4 linked regions of the Saccharomyces cerevisiae S288C genome follow. Changing the gene in region 3 together with the main gene of any one other region gives a genetic interaction. Each region holds a gene or a part of one and is shown on either strand. Other genes may lie near its edges.

Region 1 (8,953 bases), on a different chromosome or scaffold from region 3:
TTGTTCACCACTTCTACCGCTATAGGTGTTTTTGGCTTGATTCCAAATTCATTCACTTGGAACTTAATAGGTATAGTACTTCTGGTAGTGTACAGACCATTTTATTACACAGTTGTTTCTGATTATTCTTCAAAAGTTTTTGGATTTGACACATTTGGTACTGTTTATGGGTTATTGTCCTGCATTTGTGGTATTTTCAACATGAGTCAAAACTTACTGGACAAATGGACACATACTACTTTCAACATGAATCCATTCCCAATAAACCTTACACTGGTAATCCTCACAGTCGTTTTTTCACTAACTTTAACATTTTACATACGATCTCAGATTTTGCCCAAGCCCGTGAATGAAAGAGGATTGTCCTCCAACTACCAAACTATCTGAGTGCACACTTTCAAGCTAACACGCACTTTATTTATATTTAAATGACATAAAGTTATATATCTAGAAAGTTTATTTATCGTTCTCAGTACCATCCTCATCCTAGTATGTATAGCTTGTACCCATTAAAAGAATTTTATCATGCCGCCGAAAGGAACAATTTCAAGTACTATCGGAAGATGAATGGTTAGATGTTAAGCGCTGTCACTTCAAACTTCACATTTATAAAGATGTCACATGGACCACTATTATCTACCTTAAGTTATTTATCAAGATAAGTTTCCGGATCTTTTTCTTTCCTAACACCCCAGTCAGCCTGAGTTACATCCAGCCATTGAACCTTAGAAAATCTTTTGTCATTAGCGGTTTGAGCCCTAAGATCAACATCTTGCTTAGTAATCACTGCAATGGCGTCATAACCACCAGCACCAGGTATTAAGCAAGTAAGAACTCCTTTTAAGGTCTGGCAATCATCCAATAAGCTAGTTTGTACGGGAGGTTCGATATCGGCACCAGATTCTTTAGTTATTTTTCTAAAGGAACGTCTAATTGTGGCAACTGCATCTCTAACTTCTGTGATTTCAGGATACTTTTGACAGGTACAGTCATTCCTCTCAAGAGACTCAAATATCTGATCGCTGTAATCGTCATGAGTCTCGTGTAAGCGATCTAGTTTAGATAGTCCATCCATAAATCTAGAATTTGCATGATCGAGTTCTGTATATATTTTCAAGCTTTCTGGCATATGCGAATCATACCAATTTTTTACCTTCTGGACCAGTTTTACTGTTTCTGAACCATTCTTAATATCGCCCATCCATAAAGTTAATCCCGAAGGTAAATGGTTACTTTTAATCGTAATATTCCAGTCTTCTTCATCAACCAAATGCGCCAGTTTACTGCCGTAAGTAGCACTTCCAATATCTGGCAAATTAGAGATTAATGCGGGTGGGAATCTTCTATATCTGATAGATCCATATGCTGCCGCCGCTACATCAAACCCGCTTCCAATTTTACCCTGAGCTTGACAATGAGCAACTTGTGCTAAATTATGAATAACTTCTCTATATTTGTCTACATTATTTTCCAGGTCCGATACAAAAAAGGAGGCCAAAGCTGTAGTTAAAACTGTGACTAAACCTGCCGAGGAGCCCAGCCCTGTTTTGGGAACTTCTTCAATTCTGTGCGAATGAAAACTCAATCTTCTGTTGCCACGATGTTCGGTAACGCTATCCTCCTGAGAATGGTAGGCATCATCAGAGAAAATATCAATAACGAACAAGTTTCTATTGCAGTAGTCGTCCATGTTAGGTTTAAAGTAGCTAAATACGTTAGCGATAACTTTTTCAATGAAAGGGTTCTTAGATCCGCCTATCGAAACAGGAATGAAGCCACTTTTAGGACTTATATGGTACAGCCACTCCCCATCTTTAAATTGTTTACTTTTCACACGCACTTCAAACTTATCAGACCCTTGCAATGAACCGTAAGGATGGGCTACAGCATGCATTCTTGCCGATAATCCGACTACAAATGCTTCATATTTTGTATCTAAAACTAAATATCCACCAGCTAGTAACGCTTTCCCTGGGGCACTGAAGGCTCTCAACTCTGACATTTCTCGAGGCAGCCGATTGATTTATTATGAGGCCTTCCAAGATGTTTTTTCACCTTTTTTGTTTTTCCATTCTTTATATAATCTTTCTTTCCATTCGACATGACGTTAACTCCGCCTTAAAACCGAACTTTTTTCCTTTTAGATCTCGTATAGAAAAACGCATCGCAATAATTATTACTATCTACATATTCCTGTATACAATTTGATTATTTGTCAACACTTGGATGCGTATTCTGTCCACGGCTTTTTGGCTCGTGCCCCCTACGCCTTTTAGTATTTGATGCGGCAGAACTGCCTTCTGTGATTTTTCTTTTCCGTCTTCTGCTGTTGTAGTTTCTTTTACGGCTTTTCTTTTTTGCTTTAGTTTTGTCCTTTTCGCGGTTTGTTTCCTCATCATTATTATTTTCTGGAGAACTTTTATCATTGATTAGTTCCATACTTGGTTTCTGTTCTTCAAGTACAGATTTTGAAGGCATTTCCTCCTGTTCTTCTTTAACTTCTACTTTAACAGGTATATCCACTGCTTGATGTTCGGGCTCCTCACCTTCATTTACTTTGATGTTAATGGAATTATCGTGTGGCTCATTATCAACATCGTGGCTAGATAAATGTTCTGATCTATCATCCAAAACGGATGTTACATTGGTTTTATCGTGTTTCTCAAGCGTGGTGGCGGGAATTTCATCATTAATTTCCATAGGGACTTCATTTGGCGTGTCTGAGAATATTTCATACACTTCCGGTGATGTTGGCGCACTCTTTTCAGCGGTAATATTTTCCGAATTTGAATAGGGATAAGAATCTGTCACTTCTTCCTTATCAGACGGAGGATCAGATGGAAGATCTGTGGACGGTATATTTCCGCGTTGCCTTTCATCATCATTCATTTTACTAGAAGCTGCTGTCTCTGTAGGGCCCTCTATTTCCAATTCGTACAACTCAGCTTCTTCTGGCTCTGAATTTAGTTCTTCTATTGACCTCTCCTGATTGTTTGATAGGTCCAGGTCTTCTTCATGTTCGGGGTGTTGAATGCTAATATCTAACTCCGAAAAAGTGTCTTCTTCAATTGCTCCAGCATATTTCTCATTAACGGACTTTTCAAACGTGAGATCCCGTTCACGGCTTGTATTAACTTCGTCTGATTCTTCTTGATTTTTTCCTCTCCTGGAATCTTCAATGAGCCTCTGAGAATAATTCTCTAGGTCACTTAGATTCTTTAGGAGTTGTTGTCTCTTAATATCATCGGGGGCATTACTGTGAATATTTGCTGATGTTATATCTCCATATATGGTATCAAATTCTTCTTCATTCTCGCTGTGGTCTTTCTTTTCGAAATGTTGCTCGGATTGTAAACCTTCAACTAGCGGCTCTTCCGACTTATGCAAATTTTCCTTGTCCTTTACTTGCTGTCGAAACACTTCGGAGTCCTCTTCATAAGCACCGTTTGTCGTGGGATCGATGTTTATCACACGAGAATTATTACCATTGTCATTATGTGCTTCTGCGGTAACTCCTCCGAGTATGACAGCTTCATCTTCATCGCTGTCTCTCTCTTTGCTACTTACACTTTTCATATTAACAGATGCATCGGTAGAATTCGACTTGTTAAAAATGTCTTGATTATAATCACCAATATCAACGTTATCATCACTCTCAGAATCCATAACATCAATTTTTTTCACGAATGATTCAGCTACGTCGACTACCTTACCCACTCCCTTAACTACAGCTCCAATAACACGAATTGGGGATGAAAAAATATTTGATCGATCAGATTCTGGCTTCAATGGTTCCACAGACTCAATTTCCGAACTGGACACCCGAATGTCCAAATTATGTTTTGCAGATCCCTCAACATTTTTTTCAGCTGTGGAGTCTTGGTCTCGGTCTGAATCAGAGCAAGCTTGGCTAACCTGATCATGCATATTGGTATTATTTTCCAGGGCTTTTGTGTTTTCAATGGTAGTTGCTCTTCTTTCAAAGAGCACTTCGTTGTGCGTTTTTTCCACGCACGACCTTTCTGGGATCTCCATATTATTTCCAATCGCATTCTCATCTATTCTTTCGATAATGGAAATGTGTGCTTCCTCCGTATCTGTATTCTGGATATAGTATTTTCTTTCACCAGCTTCGTAATTCGCTTGCGCCTCTTGATTGATGACGTCGGTGTGCATGTCTTTGTTCTGAACATTTACGGATGAACTGACATTGGCTTCGAAAAGTGTTTCTTCTTCGTGCACCTTATTAACTTTTTCATTTTCTGGTTCTACTATTCCGAGAGTATCCTTTTTTGTACCTTTAACTATATTTTCATTACTGCCTTCATCATTGCCTGGTTCTGGATCCGCATAATCTTGTTCATATGAATCCTCACTTTCCTCTTCATCAAGCTTATCAACTACTTCAGCTTTTGTAAGTTCCTTCTTGAGTGATTCGTCGTCTTCAAGATCACTATTTCTTACTTTATATTTAGTAGAAGAGAATTCAGTGTTGTCGTTGCTTTCTTGAAAATTGTCTGGCGAATCTGTTGAAAACGAAATTTGAGTTTTACTACCATCATCATTCTGTTTTACGCATTCATCGCCAGAAGACATCTCAGCTTCGTTCATATCCTTTTCACAGTATCTTAAATTTTCTTCTACATTTGAAGCCGTTTCAATTATGTCCTCGCAGGAAGAGTCTCCTGTAACGTTGGTATAATTAATCGCTGAAAAGTACTTTTCATCCGTGTTATCTTCAGTTGACTTGTCAGTACTGTTAGCCACGCCTGGAAAATTTTTACTTTGATTTTTATTTTCATCACCTGTATTTTCATTTTCAAAAGTAACGTTTTCCGTAGATTCATCCAAATCGCTCACCTGTTTAGTTTCCTTACTTGTGTGAAAAATGTTTGTGTGCCCAGATGTAGATGTCAAGCATGATTTCGTCACTCCAGCTTCCACAAATTCTGCATCCTTTTTGGTGAAAGCTGGGGCAAGGGCTGCTAACGTTGATTTCAGTAGGTCATGCTTCTTTTCGTAATCATCGTTCAACGAATTGAATGGGTCATTCATAAATGGTGAAGTGTACTCCACTTGCGGTGGCATGGCAACTGTGTTATCTTCGTAAGAAGTAGAACTATACACAGATTCAGAAATTACTACTTCATATTTCGGAGTTGTTTTGATTTCCATAAGAGGAACATCGGTAAGATTCTCTGATATAGCATCAGCGTCATCGAGTGAATAATAGATACTGTCTTCATTTCCTAATGATGAATTGTTAATCGTAGTATCTGTGGATAGTGGTACCAGTTCTTTTTCTGTAGAACCGTCCAGTTTCTTTTCAGAAACTTTTTCAACCTCTATTTCAACAGAAGATGAAAGATCACCTCGGTCTGTTTTTAAATTATTATTGTTTTCACCTGTGAAGTCCTTTAGGGGTATTTGCTCTTCGGATTCGTCTAAAGACCTGCCCGATAAGTTGCTTCCATTTGAGTGCCCTAAATAAGATTCGGATACCTGCTCCTCTTTTTGAGGGCAGTTCGAATTTCTACTTTGTTGGAATTGAAGCATAGCCCTTGCGGCGAGATCATACAAATTATCAGGGGAATGCTCGTGCAAATCACTTTCGACACTTTTTCCTGTTACGTCATAACCTTCAACATCGTTAATTTGATTTTCTCTTTCTACTATAGCAGGATCAGTTTCATTCTCCAAAACATTTTCCGAGTATTCACTTTTGTTGTTGTTTCCGTGAAAATTTTTGTCTAGAGAGCTTCTGATAATGTCATCTTTTTCAGGTTCTTCGTCATTTTCCTGTTGTTCCACTTTGTTCTTAGTATAAGCATCTTTAGCGAAACCTTGGTCTCTGCTTTCGCTGGTATTCTCAGTTTCTTCTGACGTGCTTTTTTCGTTTTTCATTTTATATTCAAAATCATCTTCACTTCCTTGTTCGCTTTCTTGTGCACTTTGGGATTCACTATCTGAAGATTCTATATCTTCTATTAGTTCCTTATCATCCAGTTCATGTTCATTATGGTGGTACACATTTTCAGCATTTGCTGAGTAACTTTCAGCTTGACTTTCTTCATCCTCGGACTCATCGTCAACTGAAATATTTACTGAACCGAAATCAAATGCACCGTCTTCTGAATATCTTTGATGGACTTTGTGCTCATCAGATTCATATTTTTCGATAACGGGGATCTTAGTATTATCTGTTCTAGGCTGCATGTATTTTGAAAAATCTACCGAATGTTCTGTTCCTTCTGCACCCTGACTTTCATCTTTTTCAGCATCGCTTTCCACATCAATGTCGTCTTCTAATTCCATTTCTACTCCCTCTGAATAATTCTGTCCTTCACTGGAATCAGAAGAACTAATTTGTGTAGCATTCTCTACATTTGCCTGTTCTTGCCCTATATTCTTTCTCTCAACTTGCCCCTCCTCTTCGGCATATTCATCATTCGATACATCTTGTAGTGCTCCTTCCTCTGCATATTCTTCATCTGATAATATCATTATTGAAGGACTACTTTGGCCGTCACTATTCTTTTCTTCTTCAGAGAGCTCGTATTCATCATTTTCAAGATCGAAATCTTTGATTAAAGATTGTTTACCTTCCAGATCTTCATCCTTATCGGAGTCGATATTTGAGGACGACTCGTCCTCAGCGTCCGGTAAGGGAGAACTTATGAAACTATCTAAGGGAATTTCATCATTATTTTGGAAAGAAGTATCCGTTCCGTATTGGCTCTTCCTGAGATCGATTAGTCGCTGATGAGATTTACTGTTTCCTGTGTACTTGTTCATTAAAGAGTCATGAAGCTGAAAACGTTGTCTTTCCTCCTCAAGACTACGCTCAAACAAGGCATCTTCCTTTTCTAGTGTAGTAAGTATACTTTTCCCCCTATTAATTAGAGAATCTACCCAGCTTAATGCCCTCGCACTATCTTCATGAAGGGATTTATTATGAATATGACTGCTTCGCCTGGAGGAAATAGATTCATGTAAAGTCGAGTGCTGAGTAGGCTTTGCTACTCTGTATTTATCATTGTGGACCCTTGAGTACCCATGTTGATCTTTCATTTTGGAATCCTCGTCCGCGTCAAGGAGAGATGACAGTATTTTCAGTTTTCTTCTTGGGGTCGTCAGTTTAAGTTTATTTGCCCTTGGAGTAAAGGTTTCTTTTTTTTTTGACATATTTTCACAGTATAGATTTATTGGTTCTTGTACTTAACCCCTTGGTGAATTTACAACGTGTTCAATATACTTGTCAATAGGACTAAAGACTTTCTCGCATTTTAAATTCCTTTGTTTTCACTTCTTAAGAACAGCTCGCGGAACATGAAAATGGTGAAAAGTGCAAGTTAGAAGTTTTGAAAGAAAGTGAGCATAAAAGCAATAAAAATAGCCAGTGAACTTGCTTTTACATGCTAATATAGTAGATGGATAAAGAAATATATTGTGGATCGGTTCCTGTCAGCTATTTTGACCCGTTTGATTTATTTGAGAGTCTGAGGCCAGAGTTTCAGCAGATTTTACCGTTAGACAATATACATTGGAAGGCATTTGACGGAACTGTACGAACGGTTAACAGGCTTCCAATTGAATTGATTCCAGAAGGTAGAGGGGAGGCAGACAAGTCTAATGATGAACAGCCGTTTATCAGATTTTTGATAGTGAACTGTATCTCTATCGACCAATACAGGGCCAAAGTACGGCCTCTTGTGAGACAGTGGCTACCAAATCTGGAATCTGTATCTTCATCGACAGGAGAAAAAATGATTTATAAACCAATTATTTTACTGTATGCCAATTCTGAAGTAGTGGACTCTAACCTATTCAAATCGGTATCCCTAATGGAGAAATTTGGCAAAGACTTTCCGCATGTACAAACTTTGGAAGTTCGATCGGTTTATAGATCTCCCAAAGAAAGGCAGGAGTTTTGGAACCAATTTAGCCAAAAGATTAAGGCTTCCGTACTGAGCATCTTTCAAAAACGATTGACACATTTGCAACATTCGTTGGCCAATTTACAAAAAGGAAATAACTTTGAGGAACAGCTTTTGACAAGAGAAAAATTGTACGAGTTATATGTGGTATTCAATATTTTGGAAGATGCCAGCCTGGAATTGCAAAAAATCAAAAAAGAAATACTCCGTAGAAACATGAATATGCCGGATGGAAAACTTCAGGTACCTTTTGAATCATCTTCTAAATCAGATGAATCACTGGGCTCCATAATAATAGAAGGTACACTCGATAAGTTTCAATTGCATAAGTATTTTTTCATTAGAAGGTTAAGACTTCTAAAACTAGAGGACCAGACGTTGACCGCCTTTGTAGGAGCATTTCAACTAATCAAGAATTTTATTGAATCCATATCAATAGAGTATAGAAAGTCTGTGAGATTATTGGAATTTAAGCACTATTTTATAACTTCGATGCTGTCATATTTTGAATTTGAGAATGTCTCAAATCCTCTCTTGTGTGAAATCAAAGCTGAGTTATTAATGTTGAAGCGCGACAACTGGGTGCAAGGTGTTATGGCTACAAGTGGTTATAGACTAATGGACAAAAACTACCCTAATAGTGACGTTAAATACAAATTTGATCTATTAAAAGAAACTTTTGTCGATGAAACTGTCTTCCAAGAAAACTTCCTTACTCTCACCAAAGAAATTCTTTCTCTCTTCAACAAATGTGAAGGGAAGCGTCAAAGGATAGTAGATATTTTATCCATTGAGATAGGTTTGCTTTACTATCAGGGAAAGAAATATGAGGAGGCAGTCTCGCTTTTCCTTTCCTGTTACGAATATTATACTCAAACGAACTGGAATAGCATTGGTTTGAAAATATTGCAAGTTTTCATTGATTCCTTGAGCCACTGCCCCAAATTAGACGTCTTACAGATTGATGGGGAATCAGTTTCTGCATCGGCCGTTTTAACTAATGCATTTCTCAATAT
Region 2 (7,605 bases), on a different chromosome or scaffold from region 3:
GTATATACTTTTCCAAAAAAAAATCAAACACTGTTTGAGCGTCAAGAAACCCCAGGCGGTGCCCGACGATAATGCGACTGCATTATCTCCTACGCTTGTTGTCGTTTGCCTTTCTTTGGTTTATTCTTCGTTCATTTTTGGTCAAATATCTGAACTTTTTTACTCTTGGCTTCTTCTTTTGTTTCTCATCCACGCCCAGAAACTTCGCGTATTTGGTGGCTCTATTTATGCTTTGTTTGAGTACTTTTTCTGCCTTTTCTAATTTGACATTATTTAGCTGGGCTAAATATTCAAAGTTATCATTGGGTTCCAATGTCTCCAATTCAACAGTAGTTGAGTCATCGTATATTTCCGTGATTGCTCCTTTCTTCAAAATAGGCTTTACGCTACTTTCATTATTGTCGTTATCGCCGTCATCTTTATCAGAATCAAACCCGTGCCAGGATTCATCAGATTCTACCTGCAAATCCTCCGTCTTATCATTTTTCGCATCCTCTATCTCAGCTTCCAAGTTTAAACTCTCTTTAAACGTCTTTAACTGTTCTTCCATCACCTCCTTACGTTCCTGCCGAATCTTCTGTCTTTCTTCAATTTTTCTAAGCCTTTCCTGCTCCTTAATAAACTCTTGTGCTTTCTTTTGTCTTTGAAGCTTTCTCTTGTGAAAGCCAGTCAGATAATCCAAACGAGAATCCTTGTCGAACGTCACCTCATCGGTACCGAATTTCTTTGATTGCTTTGTAGCATAGTTTTTGCCTCTTGTAAGGATTTGCCTATTGGTGTGAACAGCCATAGCAAAAATCGAAAACCTTTAATTCACCCCTCTTGATTCGAGCAGCTACCAGGAACTTGAATATTGCAACTCTCTATTTTTTATCTGCTATTATCTGCTGCTTTGCAGAATCGATCCTCATCACATTTGAAAAATTTCAAATGTGAAAAGTCCCTACTTACCCGTTCGCGGCTCATGAAATCGTGTCCTCTTCAATATAAGACAAGAGTATCAAACAAAGGATATAAGGCAAAATACAACAAATTACCAGTGAATTCCGCATTTCCAAGTCAAATCAAAAACTATTTTCGAGGAAATAATGGCAGGCCCAAGGAATGTGCGTACATTACATGGAAATGGAGGCCGTAATAATGATGTGATGGGCCCAAAAGAATTCTGGTTAAATATCCCCCCAATAACAAGAACTTTATTTACTCTAGCGATCGTTATGACGATCGTCGGCCGGTTGAATCTAATCAATCCGTGGTACTTTATTTATGTTTGGAATTTGACGTTCAAGAAGGTTCAGATATGGAGACTTCTTACTTCTTGTGTAATGCTTTCGTCTCGTGCCATGCCTGCGCTAATGGAACTATATAGTATTTATGACAGGTCCTCACAGTTGGAGCGAGGGCATTTTGGTCCCGGTTTGTCCAATAGACGAGGACCGATGGTAACAGTAGACTATGCCTACTACCTGTGCTTTTGTATACTAGCCATCACTACGGCCACTACAATCATTTATGGGTCCTACTACCCTGTTGTGCTCACCTCTGGGTTCATATCATGCATTACATATACTTGGTCGATCGACAATGCCAACGTGCAGATCATGTTTTATGGTTTGATTCCTGTTTGGGGGAAGTACTTCCCCTTAATTCAATTGTTTATCTCTTTCGTTTTTAATGAGGGTGATTTCGTAATCTCATTGATCGGTTTTACTACAGGGTACCTTTATACATGCTTAGATACCCATACACTGGGGCCAATATGGGGGATGATATCCAGAAAAGCTGATCCAACCTACGGAATCTCGCCCAATGGGAAATTCTCAACGCCATGGTGGTTTACTAGTCTATATGCTCGCATAACGGGTGCCCACAATGAAACTGCAACATTCAACAACAACTTTGCCAATGTGCCATCTTCGCAAAGAGAAACGAGAACTTTTAGTGGAAGAGGTCAACGATTGGGTACGGCCCCTGCAACATTGTCTCAAACCAGTGGCACAGATTCAGGCAGAGCTTCTGGAAGTCAATTAAGAAGTGGCCCATCGAATTTGAACCAATTTCAAGGCCGCGGCCAACGAGTAGGACAAACAAACAGCCCCTCCGACTCACAATAACAACTTTTATCTATTTCTATGTACTTTGCCATTCATTATATACATCAAGAGAGTCTGACATAGTATTTTCGTTGGCATAGCAACCGATTGATAATGAAACATCACTCAAGACGAATTGACAAATGGGCCACTATGGTAAAACAATTCTTTACATGATACCACCAGTATATAGAAAGGTTCTCGTGTTGATGAATTATATAAGAAAGTGAAAATCGATTTCAAGATAATTACTCTTTTTACCTCCTCTTTCATTGTGGTCACCGTTTTTGAACACAACATGCACCAAGATTTTCAAGAAGACGAGCATGAGTATCCAGACATCAGACGCAATCCGCTGCATGAGGTGACCATGACTTCCTACATACTGGGGATTCTTTTAGGTATATTTGTTGGTCTTTTTCCACAAATTAGATTCAAGAATTTTAACCTCTTTATTATTGCCCTGTCCTTATTCCATTTTTTGGAGTATTATATTACAGCTAAATACAATCCTCTTAAGGTACATTCAGAGTCCTTTCTTCTGAACAACGGCAAAAGTTACATGGCGGCACATTCCTTTGCTATTCTGGAATGCCTCGTAGAAAGCTTTCTTTTTCCTGATCTGAAAATTTTTAGCTACTCTCTAGCTACCAAGCTTTGTACAGTACTTGGATGTCTTCTAGTTATTCTGGGACAATATACCAGAACTATTGCTATGCATACTGCGGGACATTCCTTTTCTCATATTGTGAAGACCAAGAAGGAGTCCGATCATGTTTTAGTGAAAACTGGCGTTTACTCCTGGTCAAGACATCCAAGTTATCTTGGGTTCTTTTGGTGGGCAATTGGCACTCAGCTACTGCTTCTAAATCCCCTATCATTGGTTATTTTCATTTTTGTACTTTGGAAATTTTTCAGTGATAGAATTCGTGTGGAAGAAAAATATTTGATAGAGTTCTTTAGCGCGGAATACATAGAATACAAGAATAAGGTTGGTGTCGGAATACCTTTTATATAATAGTAATGATTGTGTTAGTTATGGACTGGATTTTTGTGTTATGTAAGATTTTATCTAATCTTGTGCATCTGTATTTGGTAGGTAATAAATGCTAGGGGAATGCAAACAGTGATATTGCCTTTGAGTATTGAAAAGAAGAAAATATTTCTTTTTCGAACGGAAAATTATAGAAAATGAAGGTCATATGCACAATTACAAAGAAAATATTTCATGAAAGAGCTGGACGGAACCGTCCAATTTTAGCCTCGTTTTTAACCACTGTTGTATTTCTTTCCATAATCTTGCGTTTTCCATGTACCCATTATGGGTGAAGTTGAGGATGTATTAGAAAGTTGTCTTTTTTGGGGCAGTACATTAGAGTAAGGCCTCCTTGGAATGAATGGATTTACAATGAGTCTGGACTTCTGCAACGGTATGGTTGCAGTGTTGGGAGGATTGGGGACACTGTTTTCATTGTTTATCAAAGGAAGCCCAGACTTGTTAGAGTTTGTACGAATTGGGACGTTCTGGGGCAACGTGGGAAGTACAGGCGTAGAATTTTGTCGCCCGACGTCATTCCTCGTGATTGCTTCTGTTGTTGGTAGAGAGTTATTCCTTTGATCAAGCCCATTATTCGACAAAATAGTTGCCCCACGCAATGTTGAATCAGGGAATCTTGTGGTATTCAAACGTGGATCATTAAATCTTGAGTTCACGGTGGAAGGAAAGGACATATCCATATTCTGTTCACGTGGTGGAAAAACTGAAGATTCTTGAGGCTGGACAAATGAATCTGATATCGATGCAGTATAACTGTTGGAATTTATGGGAGGCCTTATTGTTTTATCGGGAACAGTGGATCCCCTGGGATCTAATGAACTCATTCTTATTAAGGGAGGGGTACTGAGAGCGCTCGAACTTGCATTTGAAGCGGTGTTTCTTGGCGTTGGGGATGATACGCTAACATCTGGAGAGATTAAGTGGGATGAATTATCAACAGCAGTCACATTTAAAGGCGTTTTTCCCAGAATGTTCGGCAATTGTTTACCAATATAACTGGAACTGTTTCCGAGGTACTCAGGAATAACCCTGTTTGTCACCGGAGTAGTAGTTTCTGAAGCAACTATGTTATAACTTTTTGGATCCAGGGTTCTCGAGGGTGCACTTGAACCTTTTTCAGTTAGAATATCTGTATTAGTACTTTTAAGGTGATTGCTAGTTATTTCCGCCATAAGTCGATCATCATCATCGTCATCATTATCGTTCATTAAATTTTTAGTATGATTATGACTGGGAGTATTACTGCGACTACCATGATCATGTTTATTATTACTATTACTATCATTATTTTCGATACTATTATTATTATCATTATTATTATTATTGTTATTATTATTATTATTATTATTTTTATTATGACTATCATTATTTTTGATACTATTATTATTGTTATCATTACTATGCCTGTTGCTATCATCATGATTATTAGTAACATGAGGATTATTTCCATTTGGTTCGTCATCATCACTATCGAGATTTATGATAATCGGTTCACTTGGATGTGAAGAAGAACAATGATGATCCGATACTGAAGTACCTTTTTCTGGGCTTCTACTACCATCATTGCTGTCACTGTCGCTGTCATCATCGTCTTCCAATATGGCTGTCCACTTACCATCAGAAGTAAGTTCTACCTGTTCAACGTTTTTTTGACAGTTCTGTAAAATGTCATCAACAAATTCGGAAATTGCTAAATTTTCCAAAGCTATATCAATTTGACATACTGGGCATTGCCACGTAGGAATTTGTAGTTGGGAGTGTAGGAACCATAATGCATCAAAACATTGCAGATGCTTACAATTTATTGATTTTGAAGGGTATTTCATTCTTGTGTACGAAATTGGACATTGCAGACTCATGATAGTAGATGTGGTAGTCAAGCCCATTTCTTCATCCTCCCGAAGTGTTTTTTTCAAGTAAAGTAACGTGGCTTGTTTAATAATTTTTGGATGCTGTAATACTTTTTCCAGGAGTTGCTCCGGAGTGATCATTTCTACAATGTACCCAAATAGCTTGTATTCCTTCGTGGTGAAGGCATATATCAGCTCCACATTGTTTTGTTGAGTATAAGGTTTGAGATGAGGCGTTAAATCCGCCGGCTTAGCTGTGCCCGGCTTACTCTTGAAACCTCTTATATTATCTTTGATTTGAACATTATTGCACCTTAATTCATTTGGGAATGGAAATTGGATGGGTTCATTACCTCGGGATCCTAATGGATTAATCATCCCAGAAAATAAGTATAGCCTGTGTTTGCTATTCGGGTTACTTAATAGATTATAGTCTGCTTTGGACAATTTAAATTTCGCAGAGCACATACCTCTTCCGCCTGTGACTTCCACGTTCATCACTAATTCAGGGATTAGCCTTTGTATTTTGTAAAATGGAGACTCTTTAAAATGAATTGTCGGTACAGCAAAAGATGATGAAGAAGAAGAGGCATCTGGATTTGTAGGTGGTGGTGCACGAGATGTGGAAGATGTGGTAGACGTTTTCCGCCGTTGAGTGGGAGACTGCCTAATAACGGAAGGTGATTGCTGCTGCACCGTGGGAGGCCCCTCCATAGAACGTACTGTGATAGCACTCAATGGGGTACCCTTTCTTAAAGCGTTCCAAAGATCTTTATAAACAGGCAAAGGTTCATTCTTTCTGATCCGTTCTATCAGAAATTTAACGGCTTGAACTCTATAAGGATCAGACTTGCCTACTACTAAAGCGTTCTGCAAGAAATTCCTGATAAGGTCCTGTAGAACGGCCTTGCGACCGGAAACCGGGAAAGATACAGACCTGCAAATATCCTTCAATTCGGACACTTTCAGCAGTTCCATCAGAGTGATGGTTTCCTCCACCTCGTTTCTTAGTTCATTAGTCGGTTCCCTATCAGGCCCAGGCGTTTCATCTTCCCAGTAATCCTCTAAATTTATCATTGAAACAGAATGTATATGGAACACTCAACTGTTTGAGTTGGAGTCTTCTTTTCTTGTGAAATATGGATGAACTCCACTTCATTCTTTCATATTCATATTAAAGATGATACACTTTTCAACTTACTATCTGGTGCGGTGAATGGGTGTATACATTGACTACAGCTCAGGTGACATCTAGGGGCCGTTTAGTGTAAGAATATAAAGTACAATCCAAAAAGGAAAATTATACTTGTTTAAGAAAAGAGGAACCTTCTGCTCGCTCTAAAATGGTAGTTCTAGTGATAGTTTAAAAATGCATTTTCCTTCCGACTTCGAAGATAGATTTCAGCATAAAGACTAAAAGCGTCAGCAAGGATTCGAATGAGTGACTCGTTGCTAGTGACTCTGACCTGTTTTTTATTCCAGCAAGAGGAAAGTTATATAGAGTAGTTTATGAAGAGAAGACACTTCTAAAGTTGAATAACGCTCCTAGCCTCAAGGTTGATGATTTAACTTGCAGCAAGCGCAGGTGAGAGCCAACACACATCAATAATCTTTCCAAAAGCTATGGCCAGAATTGTCGTATTAATTTCGGGCTCAGGTTCCAACTTGCAAGCCTTGATCGATGCCCAAAAGCAGGGCCAATTAGGCGAGGATGCTCATATTGTCTCTGTCATATCTTCCAGCAAGAAGGCATACGGGTTAACTAGGGCAGCGGACAATAATATCCCCACAAAGGTTTGTTCGCTATACCCATATACAAAGGGTATTGCGAAGGAGGACAAAGCCGCAAGGGCCAAGGCAAGATCCCAGTTTGAGAACGACCTCGCAAAACTAGTGCTCGAGGAAAAGCCTGACGTTATCATCTGCGCGGGCTGGTTATTGATCCTTGGATCTACTTTCTTGAGCCAACTGCAATCTGTGCCGATATTAAATCTGCATCCAGCGCTACCAGGTTGTTTCGATGGTACCACACACGCAATTGAAATGGCATGGCGCAAATGTCAGGACGAGAACAAGCCTCTGACGGCCGGATGCATGGTGCACTATGTCATCGAGGAGGTCGACAAGGGTGAGCCATTGGTGGTAAAAAAGCTAGAAATCATACCTGGCGAAGAAACACTAGAGCAGTACGAGCAAAGGGTACACGATGCTGAGCACATCGCGATTGTAGAAGCTACATATAAGGTTTTACAGCAGCTTCACAAATAAGAATAGTTCCCATATTTATACTTTTATATTTGGCATTCTTCAAAGTGAGGCGCGAAACATCTCGCGTCGTAAATCATGATCATGGATTGTGACAAAACGATCTTAAAGGTTTCGAATAAAATGTGTGTAAATACGTATACTTATATATGAATGTGCATGTGTAAACGCTTAATCGTGTTATTGCAAAACTAAAATCAGGCCAGATTGTAGTTTAAACGGTTCTAGTATAACTGGTTTAAGGTGCGGCTCACAACCTGTTACAGGGAGACAAAAACCATGAATATTCTTAAGCATTTCCCAAGCTATGTTGGCCCATCTAAGATTAGGACCTTAGTGA
Region 3 (7,084 bases):
CGGTCTATTGTTAAATAATTAAGGGTCCATTTTAGGCACGGCGGATTCACAGAAAACCACGCAGTGCTCAACGTCATATACCACAAAATCCGTTTTCGTATTAAAAGTGAATGTGTCAGTAAAAGGCATTCTTTTTAGCGTTCATTATTTCCTTTAATATGATGTACCAATCTGTCCACTGCCTATGTAAACTTAAAAGGGAGGCATTTATGACTTGAGATTTGGTTAAATTACCAATATCTCAAGGGTAACAATATTTGCTATACTGGTCATCTAGAATAAAAATACTGCGTTGTAGTGCTGAGTGATAGAACTTTTAAATCATATTATGTTATATAACAAAGAGCAGGGAACAAGCGGCGCTAGTAGCTCTGGTCGTAGAACGAAATTCCACTTCGATCGTTTTGTACAAATGGTTCTGTTCATTGCCGCTAATCCCAATTATTGCTGTTCAGTAGCCAGTATCCCGAAATCTGGTGTCACGCCAGATTTAAAAAGAGCAGATATTCTTGAACAGAAGATCAAAAGCTTAAATAGTGCGCTGAGTCCAAAATTGAAGGAAGAAAGTCGTCTTGGTGGGCCTTTGCATAACCCCTCTATTCTACCAGCCCCATCTTTTTCATCACTACCAATATCATCCAATGGAAAGAAATCTTTAGCAGGATATAGACCTAAAAGTAGGAAGAAACAAACTATACTCCCCAACGGTCAACCAAAAGAGTGCGCCACTTGTGGTGACACCTGGACTTCTCAGTGGAGAAGTGGACCTAATGGAAATGTTGAGCTATGTAGTCGATGTGGCATAGCATATAGGAAAAAAATGGAGAAAAAAATACGATCGCAACAATCCTCCGATGATGGTACTAAAAATTTTATATTTAAAAATAAATAGTTAAGTAGTTTGTAAAGATGGTATATTCAGCGGATTCTTCCTCTATTTTTATGTTTTTTGAGATATTTCGAGCTTTCTATTTTTTTAAAATGCCTGAATTTCCATCTTCAAAAAAAACATAAAAAAGGTACTTTACCACCAAATAAATGATAACCACAATTTACTTTACTTATCCTCCACTATCAAGTATCTTCCTACCAGGAAAAATGAATTTCAAATGATTCGAAATTTACGGAGGCTCAATATAGAGATAGTGTGACGATGTTCATAAGGGCTTTACCGCTTAGCACGTATCTACAGTTTTCACTCAATAATATATTCTCTAGGAATGATTGCCAATAGATTGATATCCAAGAGAAGGTTCAATTAAGGAATTTCATTTCGTTCTAATCTTTTGTTGAAAATAAAAATTTTTACTTATATGTTAAAGCTTAAGATTCCACATAAGGTCGAAGACAATCGTCACTAATGTGTGGTTCTGCCTGCTCATCTCTAAAATATATTACTTTTTGTACAGACATCTAAATTGAGCTGGTGCTTATGCTATTCTTATGATTTATTTTCAAGTGGTTTATTGAACTTTATTCCATATCCAATGATCTGAATATTTCTACTTATGTATAATAATTGTATATTATAAAAGAATAACTATTTTAAAGCGTCGGTTAAAATCAAATGGGCAATAAATCTTCTCATCCTAATCGCATCTTTATAATCAAAATCCAATGGCGCATCTGCACTTCCATAGAGAGTATTCATACAAACATATATTCCACAGTCGTAGCCATTTGGTTGCTGCGGACAATCTAAATGAATCAAATCAAAGTCTTCTCCTATTGTATGCTTACTTTCCTCCATAACATATTTTTGCAAGTCAGTCAGTATAGCGAAACTCATAGCATTTGGACCATTCGATAATGAATCTACGTAACCTATAGTTTTCTTTTTTAAATCAATTATGCCCAACGCCCAGTGGGATTGGTTCAAATTTATTGGTGTAAAGATTTTATCAAGTTTATCAATTTGTGTCTTCTTTCTCTTCATCCACCTCCGGACGCCTTGATAACCCCTTTCTGATAAATTGGTATAGAAAAATGAATTAAACGCCACTGTATTAGGGGTAGATTTTTCAATGTATTTCATAAAAAACTCAATGATAGTGTCATTTAGCCATCTTCGTGGTGCCAAGGTCTTAAAATCACGTACTGTTATCTCTATATTATCTCTATTCATTAACTGAGTATTTTCTCTAGATGCCAAAGCTTTTTGTACTTGGTCATCGTCTTTTTCATTTAATTCAGGAACAAGTTTCTTCTTGGCCAATTGTTCTTTCTTTTTTTTAAGATCTTCTTGAATCTTCTTTCTTTCATTTAAAATTTCGTTATATCTTTTGAAGTCTTTCTCAAACTCTAATATAGATCTATCAAACTTCAACTTTTGATTTAAGTAATCCTTATGTTTCCTTTCCAAAGAAGATATCTTTTTTTCTTTAACAAATACTAAATCATCATCATTTTCATTTCTTGTCTGTAGTCTGTTCTTGTTGTTCTCAATTAAAATTGTTTTGATCTTTTCAGTTAAGTCGATTATAGACTTTTTTAAGCCAGTGTCTTTTTCCTTATCCATATCCATTAATTTTAACTGTCTTTCTCTTTCTTCTTTTAATATTTTTGGAACTTTATATTCTCCGTTGAATATTTGTCGTAAATATGTTACTTCCTCAGATTGTGCTCTCGACACCAGTTTAGTATTGTTAATGTTCTGTTTTGCAACTTTTTTCTTTCTAATAAAGGCTGTCCCATACTGTCGCCTGTCGTAGCTATTTTTCTGATCAGAAGTGTTATTTTCTGAGTTAGAACCAATAGCACTTGTTTTCCACTTATTCCAACCAAAAGGATCTCTCGAAAAAGTTATGCTATTGTCACTATCACAATTGCTTTTTTGAGAAGCCAAAGAGCTGATTGGTGAGGTTGAAGGTGTCCCCACACCTTCACTTTCGATTCTTCTCCTTTTATTTGGTAAGGCCCACGTCGACGTATCGAATTTGTGTTTTCTTGTATCCGAGGAATAATTTTCACGTAGACCATATGGTACGTCACTGCTCCTACTTCCAGAACTTCTGCTCTCAACGTCGCTGTTACCACTTGCTTCTACTTCAGAACCATCAAAATTGCGAGGTTCGTTTTTCACAAATGTGTGCCATAAGTACTTACCTGAGTTCCAAAGAGTTTCTCTTATGCCTCCTATAAAACCAGCTTTACTAGCTCTATCTGACCCATCTTTCATTGATTCTTCCATTGATAAAACACGGCGGTCGTTTAAATAATTGAATCTTGACGTATTGGTTCTTTTTTTATAAATACCACTAAAACTGGCTGATCTTCTAGACTCGGAGGGATTGTTCAATACCCGAGGATAACACCTATATGTAGAAATTGGGGAGAATAAAGGGGAGTAAGGGTTCTTTTTATGATACTGTAGTGTGTTCCGGTGCTTATCTACTTCAACTGACATTATTATGATATCCAAAGGTCAGAGGAAGAAGAGGAAAAAAACTGAAACAGAAGTAGATATTGATGAATAATTTTAATTAGCAATATAGATTTGCGGAGCTGAAACGAACGTTTCAGCTATTTTTTGATCTGGGTTTAACTATCACACACATCTTCTCATTATGTGCATTTTGAATTTTGAAAATAAAAAGAGGCGGCGCCGGCACCTGCTGAAAGCTGTTTAATATGATTTAATACGGAAGAGCAAATATGTATAAATAGAGAACAATTAATTAATTATGATAGTAACTGGTACTTGTGTAATATATGTGTATATAAAAAATATACATGTTCTTATTCCCCAACCAAATTGAAGATAAAATCTTGAATTGGTTTTAGTGTACGGGGTAACGAAGGCTGGGAGGAAACGTTTACTAATCCTCTTTCCCTCCTAGCGGCCTCTTTAAAAGCCACACTAAAGTTAACAACCAAGGTAACGATTAATACAACTGCAACCAAAATAGGTCCCACAGGTGCATCCAAATGCTTACCACTTCTACCTTTAATAAGAGTTAATCTTTTTAAGTAGGTTCTATAAGCCCATACTCCGCAAAACAAAGTCAAAAAGAAATATACATAGGCCAACAGATCAGCTAGTTGTGGAAATTCGGCTTTTTGCACTGAATTATAGATAGAAAAGGTCAATACACTCAGCAATGTGGTTACACTTAACCATCTATTGAATGTACGTTCATTGGCGAGCCAAACTTTTGCCTCAACTTTGACAGGACCGGCATTTTTCAAAAGGTGAACTGGTTTTTTAACTCCCGGAGGTAATTGGAAAGAAGAGGCACTGTCTGTATCGTCGGAGTATGGATCATTTCCATTTTCTGAAATATTTTTTCCAGCAAGAATTTTCAAGAAAGCTGCATTCGTTTTGAATTTCTTCCCTTTTTTGACTGCAGATTTCTTGGGCAATGCAGTACCTTCTTCATCTGATGATTCGTGATCTTCTAAATCTGCAATAACGTGGCGAGTATTCTGATCTTTTTGCCCTTGTCTTTCAGTGGTCTTTCCATCTGGTACAGAGATTTTGGATAACCTTCTCATATTATCAAGTTTATCATGAATGCTCTTTTGTTTTTGTAAAGTTTTCTTCTCTTCTTCGTAAGCCTCCTGAGGGTTCTTTCTGATGTCGGTTTCTAAATCGGGCAACCAGAATGGCAAAATGTTGACATATTTATCGTCTTCACCAAACAGTGAAGCCACACCTTGCAAGTACAAAGAAAATTTTGGAACTTCGTTAACTAAATGTGAATTAGTTAAATCTTTAATCCACTCATAATTAGGCATTTGAGAATTATCTTGGTTTATAACCTTAATCTCCATTACAGAATAGGGGAACTTCGAATATTCTCCTGCTCTTAAAAACCTCAATGGGTTGGGAATATTGGAATCAATATCGTCACGGTGCCAATTCTCAGGGTTCCTAATGGGCCTATTTTTGTCCAAAGAATCCTCTCTAATGTACATGATATTGGAATCGATAGTGACTCTAATACTTTGATCTCCAGGAATTTGGAAAGCAGTTCTATTATAGGTAGCTCTCAAAACTGGCTGCAACTTCTCCTCAACAATAAAGTTTTGGATGTTATCAAAGTCTCTAGAAAGTTTTTCCAGTTCCTCCTTTTGAGTACCCCTTTCTCTTAGTTGATTAATTAAATAGTTTTTGTAACTGGGATCATTTTTAAAAATAAAATTGTTGATGAATTTGGCTTTCATTTGCAATCTGATTTCTTCAAAACTTGAATTACCAGTTTCGGTATTTTCTGTAAAAGTTCTCTTTTCCAAAAATATGTCAGGTTTGTCTAGCAGTTTACCGATCCATCTTAATCTCAGCGTAGGTGCACCGCTGATTTTCAACAATCTGTTATTGTACAAATCAAAAAAATCGTTGTCGAAATATAATGTAGTGATTGTTGGATCATATGACTGTGGGAAAATAACGCTCTTTGATTTTCCAATTTCAACATCTTGGTTGCTATTACCATCACTAGAAAGGCTGTTACTCTTTGAACCAATATTCAAGCGCGCTTCAGGTTGTACGCGGACATCTGATTCTAGATTATCGACGAAATCGTCATTTTCATTTGGAACCGACGCATAAACCAAAGCAGGTAGATGCCTTAAGATTCTAGCCTTAACCTCCATTATATTATCATCATGAACCCAAAACTTGTAGCTTTTAAAACTTGCGTCTTCAAGGTTAGAAAAATGTGATAATTTAGAAGTACTTGCTAATGATTTAGACACCGTATTTGGATGATCATAATTTGATCTCAAGAACTCGTACAGATATGAGATCCTATACAACAAGGGAGAATACTCTTCTGAATTGTTGAAAGGAAGTTCTTTCAATCTGACTTGTAAAAGAGACTTTACAGAAGGATAGTTTGGATGTAATTTATCGTGTTTCTTCACAATCTTGATAAACCCAGTAAAATTTAACCTGTCAAAGTTATCCAATCTTTGAGCCTCATCTAGACATTCTTCTAAGGTGTTTTTGAACTGCTCAGAATTTATTTTTTGGATTTTTTCAGCTGATTTAGTGTTTTCCTCTAAATCATCTAATTTTCGCAAGACAGCATTATATTTGGAAATTTGAAATGTGTAAACCTTTTCTAGTTCTTTATCCAAGGCCTCCACAAAATCAGATTCATTCCTTTCGGACCAACTATCCACGGAACTACGGCCATCATGTATGACGCTTTCCTTTAGTAATTTCTTCAACCTTTCATAGTCGATATATGAATCCTTCCAGGGAGGATATACGTCGTTAGCCAGTTTAATACCAAATAGCATTTTCAAACTCTGAAAACCAAGGACAAATTCTGCTGTTCGCTCTAATAGCCAAATGACCTATAGTGATAATAAAAAAAGCGCTAAGGAGGTACTACTTGGATTAGATCACTCTTATGCGTATTATTACCCGCCAATGGGCCCTCTCGATATTGAGAAGATGAAGTAAGTTCGAGAAAAGATGTCTGATGTAAGCCGCTCTCTGGCCTCTATTTAAAAGTTCTTCCTGGATGAAACCCACTCGAAAGTTGGGTGTGTGCGTGTGTGTATGTTTCCACGTTTCTGCCTTGTGCTTTCAAAATCGCATGCACGTGCTTGCGACTGCACTGTGTTGTATTAAGCCACGTGGGCCCTCGCACATTGAAAAAAAGAAAAGCTGTACAGGGAAAAATGTGCCAAGAAGTCCAAATACCAATAGCTGTGCAAGTTACTCATTAACATCCAAACCGTGAAGGTCACGGCATATATACTCTGGCGTTCTACTATGTGGCCGGTAATGTAACCGGTAATGGTGACTATCTAATAGTTGGAGTCCGCCGAAAAATCAGAAACGCGTAATTTAGACTTATATAAACAGCTATATACCTTGGAGCTAGTGTGATCTTGTTGATACTAGGTCGGCAAAGAACGCAAATATGGATTTTACGTCTGATACGACGAATTCGCACGACACATCGAATTCGCATTTAAGTCTGGAAGACGCTGTGGGTACACATCATGCTGGTGAAGCAGATGTAAACATTGATGGGGACGAGAAGCAACAACTATCGCTATTAGATGATGATCAGGTACGCGCACTGAAGCTACAGGAGGAGAAGGATGCGCTGTTGACAAGGAGAAA
Region 4 (7,066 bases), on a different chromosome or scaffold from region 3:
CTTCTTTGATAAAAGACCATGCATTATACATTTCCATATAAGCACACATTAATGTCATATAAAACATCCTTATGAAGCATAGATCGTCTTCTTTGAAAAAAATCTCAAAATTTTTTCTCAACAATGTTATAATTTGTTTAAAATTTGTGATGATAGTGAGGCACAGCTTGATTAACGCCTGATCATGCGATTCGTCTTCGTTCTCTGTTTGCTGCAAGACCTCCACCAGATTATCAGTATGTGATCTGACAGAGTATAATAATGATACTACATTAACCGCTACGGCCTTCTCTTTACAGAAAGAGGCGATTTTTCTGATAGCTTGTTGGCATTCTGTAAAACTAAATAGGAGCTTCCGACAGGAAACAACCAACTCTGCATGCGATATTTTTTGATGCCCGTTACTCATTGACTCTTCTGGTAAAATCGACAACCTCTTGAAGTAGTCATTATATTTGGTGTGATTGTATAGTTCCGTACCATTCACTGCCCCACTTTGTTCTGATTCTGCATTGACTGTACCACTGAAAGATGTTGCAGAGGTTTGATTAGATGAGACCATTGCAGTAGATGCACTTATAGTTGTATTTGCACTTGGGGCAAGTGAAATTATATTGTTTTCATTCATTGCTCCATTAGACAAGTTCGTATTTATGAATCCCATTCTTTTCGCTGCTCTAGATATTTTAGGTTCTGGAGTAGGTAGGTTAGGATGATCTTTTAGATATCGTGATATCGCAATTGCCCAATATTCTTCTTTGGGGATGCCCGTATGAAATGGAGTATAACTCTGTACTTGGTCAAGCTCTTCTTTGGGTATTTTATTATCCTCTAAATCCAAGATGCTCAGCTTGTTTAATTTTGTGATCGATTTCAAATTACGTATGCTAGTAACGTTGTTGTCTTTCAATGATAATACACGAATATTATCTTGCCAAAACGATGATATTTCATCTGGCAATGCTTCAATCTCATTGGAGGACAGATCCAAGATCTCTAATTGAGGGCATTGTGTCAAAATATATGGGATTTCTTTAAAATTGTTATTATGCAAATCCAGATATTGCAGCCTTGATAACCTCTTGAAACTCGCTGGTAAGGATGTTAAGTGATTTTTCCTTAAAGACAGTCTTTCAACATTTTGGATATATCCCACATCTTCATCTGATATGGACTTGATATTAAGAGCTATTAATTTTAGTGTAGTACCACTAGAGCTGGATTTCTCTTGTGTTGCCAACTCAGATATTATAGTGTTGCTTGAATTAGTGGATGTTTTGTCAGCAGGCAAATGTTCCTCCTTCGGATCCAACGTCCTCTTTGAAGATGTCGCTACCATACGTTACGGATACTTATAGACTTAACTCCCCCCAATAAGTTCAGGTGAAAAGTAGCATGGAGTTTTGGCATTAACTTTATTTGCCCACTTATATTTAGAGATCTTGAAATACTTTTTGTTACCCGACTTGTAGCTTCATTTTTTCATTTTTTTTTTTTTTTTTTATTTTTATTTTGTATTGTTCTTTGAAAGAATCATGCATGGAAGCAATAACTATTATACGGAAGTTATATACAAGAAATCATTATATAGTTACAGCATCATATGTGCAGAAAATTGGTTCTGAGCTTTTCTTATTGTCTTCTTATGACAAGTGTATTAAGTCAACTTTTCTGGAACAGTAATTCCATCACATTCTTTTAAAATTTGAATATCCTTAGGGTTGGGACGAAAACCCTCATTAGTGCCTAAATCTCGCATAAACTGGTTAATAAAAGCAACCTCTTTGTCAGATAACTGCTGAGTATTGCGTGCAAATGTGGCCAAGTTGAATAGAATTTTCGAAACGGCCAAGTTCGACACCCTGATACTTGAATCCTTAGCTAGATTGTAGTACTTTTCGATGTAGGGAACGTACTCGCTATGTTTACTCTTGTAAAGTTTATCACAGAACCCCAATAATAAAGCATTTAGAGGCGTATTATCCACGTTTCTCTTTCTAGTCTTTTGATATGAGAGAAAATCAGAAAACAAATTCTTTGCCTCGGCCACTGTGCCGTCAGGCTTATTAAACTCTGCGGAAATAAAGTCTGCATAATTCCTAGCATTTAAGTGAGTTCCCAATTGTTTGTAAAGTTGACGAATCGGCTCGACAGTGGGGCACACTGAAATAAAGGCTTTCGTAATCTTTTCAACCTTTTCATAATCGGTGGGATTAATGGAAACACTTTGCAATAGATCGAATTGTGGGCGTGTATCTTCTGCCTGAAATTTATAATTAGCGTACATTTTAATGCTTAGAGTATCCAAAGTAGGGGGTAACACACCATCTGATGGATAATGGTTATAGTAAAATGTGTTGAATTGTTCTTCGCTCACTTTTTCATCATCTAACATTAGCAATAAAACTTTATTGAACAACTTCTTGGTTTTAACAGTCTCTGCTAACTCCCCTTTGACTTGGTCATACTTTAGAGGCGAAGTTTGACATAAGGCCAGGAGAAATGCTTCCTTCACGATGGGATCTTTCTTGAACTTTTTAGGAAGTTCTTCTTCCCAAAATTCCTTTAAATGGTTGAAATTTCCAGAATCAGTTAGTGCGTTAACTAGCGTCGCATAAGATGTGTTTTTAATATTATCTCCTGGTTTGATAACACTGTTCCAGACTGCTAGAATTCTGTCCAACTTCTCTTTACTCGATTTAGCTCGTAAGTGCGACACAGCTCTTAAAAGACAATCTTTCAGCGACGTACTATTTGGGAAAACCTTGCTATACTGGTTATAAATAGTAACAACTTGGTCGGGTTTATCCAAATCAATAAACTTGTCCATGAACTTGCTTATGATCTCTACATTTTTCTCACCTTCAAGTTTATTGTATTGGCCATAAAGATCCCTTAAATCTATCCATCTAGGAGCATTTTCAATTTGACTTAAGAAATGATCACTATCCTGTACTGTGTATTGATAGTACAAAGTGTTTAGATTTTTGATAATCACGTCTCTTCTTTCAAGAGAGCTAAATTCTGTACTTAACATTCTTCTAATCATGTTAAAAGGTAAAACCTGGCCCATTTTACGATCGATCTGTAAAATCTTATACAGAATATTGATATCCACAGTATTCTCTGGTAAAGATAAGTAAGCAATGGTGGTAATTGCAATATTTTGCATATGTGCACGAGAAGAACTATTTTGAAGTAAGATCACTGGGTTTTCGGAAATGGTTTCCAAGTACTTCACCCATAAGGCAATAACGTCCTGTGGTGATTGATTATATAGAAGGTACTTTAAAACAATCGTGAAATGTTGTGAGCGTGCCAATTTGTATTGGCACAATGTGTTTAATACTTGATAAGGATCTAGCGTCATATTTTTGCTTCTGTAACTTAATTCCTGTAGGAGATCCGAAGAAAAATTCGCTAACAAGTGTGATCTTTCCATAGGTGAAGGGTTCCTTAATTTCTGTTTCAACGATTCAATCTTATCTTTAAAGTCATTAAAAACTTCATTGATATCTGAATCTGGAGCTTTCAACTCGTTCTTCAAATCAGCAGCCAAATTTTGTACCCTTTCAAACGGTGAGACGTGCTTTTCTCTATTTCCTGAATGTCCATCATCTGTTTCTTGTAAGTGAACGCTGCTTTGTTGGTATATCGATGTTGAAGAGGTTAGACATCTTCGTGAAATAATCACCTTTGAACAATCAAAGGCCCTTAAAGCATTATGGGAAAGCATCTGTATCCCAGTGGAAGGCTCTGATATTATTTTGTGCAGAGCCAACTTAAGCAAACATATAGACAGTACGTCCTTAGTTAGACATGTGTAGCAATTGAACGATTCCACAGGCGGTATGTATATCGTATATGATGATATTACATTTTACTTACCCCGCTTTTTCCCTCTTATAATCGATTAATTACTTAGTCGACGAGCAACCTTTTATGGCATATTTGAAAGGTAATACAATGTTCCAACTTCGTTTTTTATTCACAGATCAATTAACGTATTGGCACACCTGATATTTCCTCAATAGTAAGTAGTTTTGGTGATGTAACTTTGACACTACCTTCGACCGAATATTCACTTATAAAACTTATATATTACTTGCTTTTACTTCTAACTTGTCTGGAGAGTTCAATCTTTGTTTTCAGCTCTATATACCGGTTTTCTGCATCGGCGGCTAAATGGTATTCTTTTCCGCTTGGCTCTACACAATGTTTATTAAGCTGAGCGTCGGTGTTTCCGATTTGGACCGTTTGACTTTCTTTTTGGACTGGTTTTCTTTTTTAGTACGAGGTGTACGGACAAAAGATACTAACGGACAAAACGCGGTTGCAACTGAAATTTTTTTTTCACTATTTTCGTAGGGCACATTGGTGTAAATATATATATATATACTCAAGGTTCATCTCGTTTTTTTTAATATTCTTGTTCCTTACTCTTGATCATACGTAGAATGTATGTCTTTATCCTGAAAGTAAAGAAAGGATTATACAATGCTGAAATGTTAGTACTAAATATGAGCATACAATCACTTGTTGTTCACTAGTTCAACGAGTTTCATTCATATTCAACTCACGCAAGGGATTATGGAAGAAGAATCCTTTTTATGAAAGGGAAAAAAAACCGAAATACTATGTTAACTGCTTCCAACGCTCTATACTAATGCGCATGAAGATTTTACTTGCGAATCAAACTGATTCGCACGCAATATCTAAGTCTGCTATACCTACCTTACATCTCGCCGTATGTTATGGGTGCAAGGGTGTTTTTTTTTTTTTATATTTTTTTTGTTTGGGGTTTTCGATACTTTGTGAAGGAACGACGCAGAAAAAAACGAAAATCATACGCCCGATGAAATTTTTGATAAGAAAATTTTCTGAAAACCCATGCGATGAGAAGTCAAAAATTTTTCTTCTTCTCCTTTTCTTGTACTTTTATCCCGGCTAGTTCTTTTTCTAAAATTTTCATATTCCAGTCCAATATTTTACTTCATTTTTTTTTTCTGTTCTCGCTTGGCTTGATTTAATTTTTTACGTAGGTTTTTTTTACACGATATTGTTTGTATTATCAGTATTCCCTTCAAGCTCCCCTTTTTTTTATCAATTAAGGTTCTTGGTAATTTCTATTTCTGAAAAACCAAAAACAAAAAGTCATTGATTGACTATTTGACTCAAATTACCAAAATCATAACTTTTCTTTTCAGCATTCCATTATTGAAGGCTTTAAAATAATAGTTTCTTTTTTCCTATTATTTTATTTTTTCCTTTACATTGGAATACATTTTATTTTGAGTTTTAATTTTTTTTATTTTCTATTCCATTGTTTTTTATTTGCTTTGGACTGCCCTTTTCGTAATAATTTCCCTTTTTACCCTATTTTAGTCACTTCTGTGTCAGCAAGCGGGATTATATAAAGAAACGTTAGCAGAAACAATATCAGCAAAATAGAAAATAAACGGGCAATCAATCAATAACTACAGAAATATTGGGAGGTTTTAACTAATTTTTCCAGGATATTTCAACTTTTCATAAATCAAATTTTTTTTACTTTTTTTTTTGCTTTGCTATAGTATTTTAGAAAAGGACAAAAAAATACGAAAAAAGACAAAAAACCATATAAAAAAATTGATTAGAAGAACTTATAATGGCATTGGCAAATTCCAGACCTTTGCAAATACCAACTTTAGAGAATGAAATTCTTCATAACTCAAATTCTCCAGTATTTCAGTTGAATTCAATGGGATTTACAACTAGAGCTGACACTATTTCGAATCCAGGCACGGATCTTATCGGCAACCAGCCAGGCATGGCCCTTGATGATAATAATTTGGCCGGTTCTTCGTTTTCCTCATCTCAGGAAATAAAAGCTACCAAACCTAAGAAGGACTTTGGTGCTCCCAAAAAAGACAATCCATTATTAGAAATTTCTAAGCTAATACCTGTTACTGGTGAGAGGCCAAAACCCGAAAATAGAGACTCCCCTCTGGATGATGACGTTCTTCACGCAGTTTTTTTAATATTATGGGAAATGGATCCGAATCAACAAGGCATGACCGTCAAACAACTGTGTGACTTGCTTTTGCAAAAACATCCAGATATGTCCAATTTATCAACCAAGTTGTCAAATTTAATTTCCGCAAAACTGAACGCTTATGTTAAAAAAATTGAAAAAGGTGAGAAAACGTTAACTTATGCTTTATCAAGGGAATGGTCTAATTCATCTCCTAGAAGGATGCTCTATATATACAGAGGCATATTATCTCCCGATTACAAGGAGCATGCTCAAGCTGTTACGATGCAACTTAAACAACAATTGGAGACCTCCGGTGATACAAGCGACTTTAATTCAAATGGCAAGAAAAAAAGGGAGTCCAGCAGTAACCAGCTAGTTAACAATGACAGTTATTCAAGTTCTATGACGGACATGAAAAATATGTCTTCTAACAGTTCCTTCTCAAAAAATTTGAATGTAGGGAATCTGGCCTTTTCATTAAGTCCAGAATTCAACATACCTTATTCCACTTCTCCAGTGTCACTAAATCTTTCCCCATCGATGAGTAATAATCAGCAACAATTACTGACACCTAATTCGGCATCGAAGAGTAAAAACAATAATAAAAAAAGAAATTACATGGATGAAGATACTAACGAGTCAATGACCGAGCCAAAGAAAACCAAAACTACTAAACCTGGCAAACAAACAAAATCCCAATCTTTATCAGTTTTATCCACCCCCAAAAAGGGTTCCTCTGCATCTCTTTCTACATTTGCAAGCTCCAAGAATATTTCGCCAGATTCTTCTCTGTCGCATAATGCATCGTCAAATACTTATGTTACTGCCGCTGCCGCTGCACCAAGGCTTTCTAAGCTTTTGCCGAAAAATGGGTTTAAGAAAAATTCACGTAGCTCTTCTGAACTGGCTGCTATCCATAAAGTAATCTCTACACAGACTCCAATTGAGAGCTCTTCAGAGAGCTCTCAATATAACAGTAGTAGTAGTTCACCAGTTAATAGTGCAGCTGCTTCTTCTGCTGAATCTTTATCCGACATCAATTCCAGTCAG

What was found.
Region 1: mutations in ULP1 (region 3) and ESC1 impair growth when combined (synthetic growth defect), as found in Saccharomyces cerevisiae (one study listed by BioGRID).
Region 2: of ULP1 (region 3) and SIZ1, a mutation in one rescues a mutant of the other (synthetic rescue), as found in Saccharomyces cerevisiae (one study listed by BioGRID).
Region 4: mutations in ULP1 (region 3) and MSC6 together harm fitness more than expected from each alone (negative genetic interaction), as found in Saccharomyces cerevisiae (2 studies listed by BioGRID).

The regions. Positions count from the first base shown.
Region 1 is NC_001145.3:705,365-714,317, reverse strand, and holds ESC1 (Esc1p), read right to left. Parts: upstream 7,186-8,953; coding exon 2,209-7,185; downstream 1-2,208. Other genes in the region: FMP42 (Fmp42p), read left to right, coding at 1-387; ERG8 (phosphomevalonate kinase), read right to left, coding at 647-2,002; transport protein particle complex II subunit TRS130, read left to right, coding at 7,431-8,953. UniProt on the Saccharomyces cerevisiae protein: Involved in the clustering of telomeres at the nuclear periphery, forming discrete subcompartments that accumulate a complex of histone-binding silencing factors like SIR4. Required for SIR4-mediated anchoring and partitioning of plasmids.
Region 2 is NC_001136.10:1,287,878-1,295,482, reverse strand, and holds SIZ1 (SUMO ligase SIZ1), read right to left. Parts: upstream 6,078-7,605; coding exon 3,363-6,077; downstream 1-3,362. Other genes in the region: rRNA-processing protein RRP17, read right to left, coding at 83-790; DFM1 (Dfm1p), read left to right, coding at 1,089-2,114; STE14 (protein-S-isoprenylcysteine carboxyl O-methyltransferase), read left to right, coding at 2,392-3,111; ADE8 (phosphoribosylglycinamide formyltransferase), read left to right, coding at 6,624-7,268; TRAPPII-specific subunit TRS120, read left to right, coding at 7,545-7,605. UniProt on the Saccharomyces cerevisiae protein: Acts as an E3 ligase mediating SUMO/Smt3 attachment to septins and PCNA. May be involved in chromosome maintenance.
Region 3 is NC_001148.4:510,773-517,856, forward strand, and holds ULP1 (SUMO protease ULP1), read right to left. Parts: upstream 3,407-7,084; coding exon 1,541-3,406; downstream 1-1,540. Other genes in the region: ECM23 (Ecm23p), read left to right, coding at 329-892; VTC3 (vacuolar transporter chaperone), read right to left, coding at 3,739-6,246; CTF19 (Ctf19p), read left to right, coding at 6,879-7,084. UniProt on the Saccharomyces cerevisiae protein: Protease that catalyzes two essential functions in the SUMO pathway: processing of full-length SMT3 to its mature form and deconjugation of SMT3 from targeted proteins. Has an essential role in the G2/M phase of the cell cycle.
Region 4 is NC_001147.6:999,490-1,006,555, forward strand, and holds MSC6 (Msc6p), read right to left. Parts: upstream 3,737-7,066; coding exon 1,658-3,736; downstream 1-1,657. Other genes in the region: SOG2 (Sog2p), read right to left, coding at 1-1,339; GDS1 (Gds1p), read left to right, coding at 5,648-7,066. UniProt on the Saccharomyces cerevisiae protein: May be involved in the control of meiotic sister-chromatid recombination.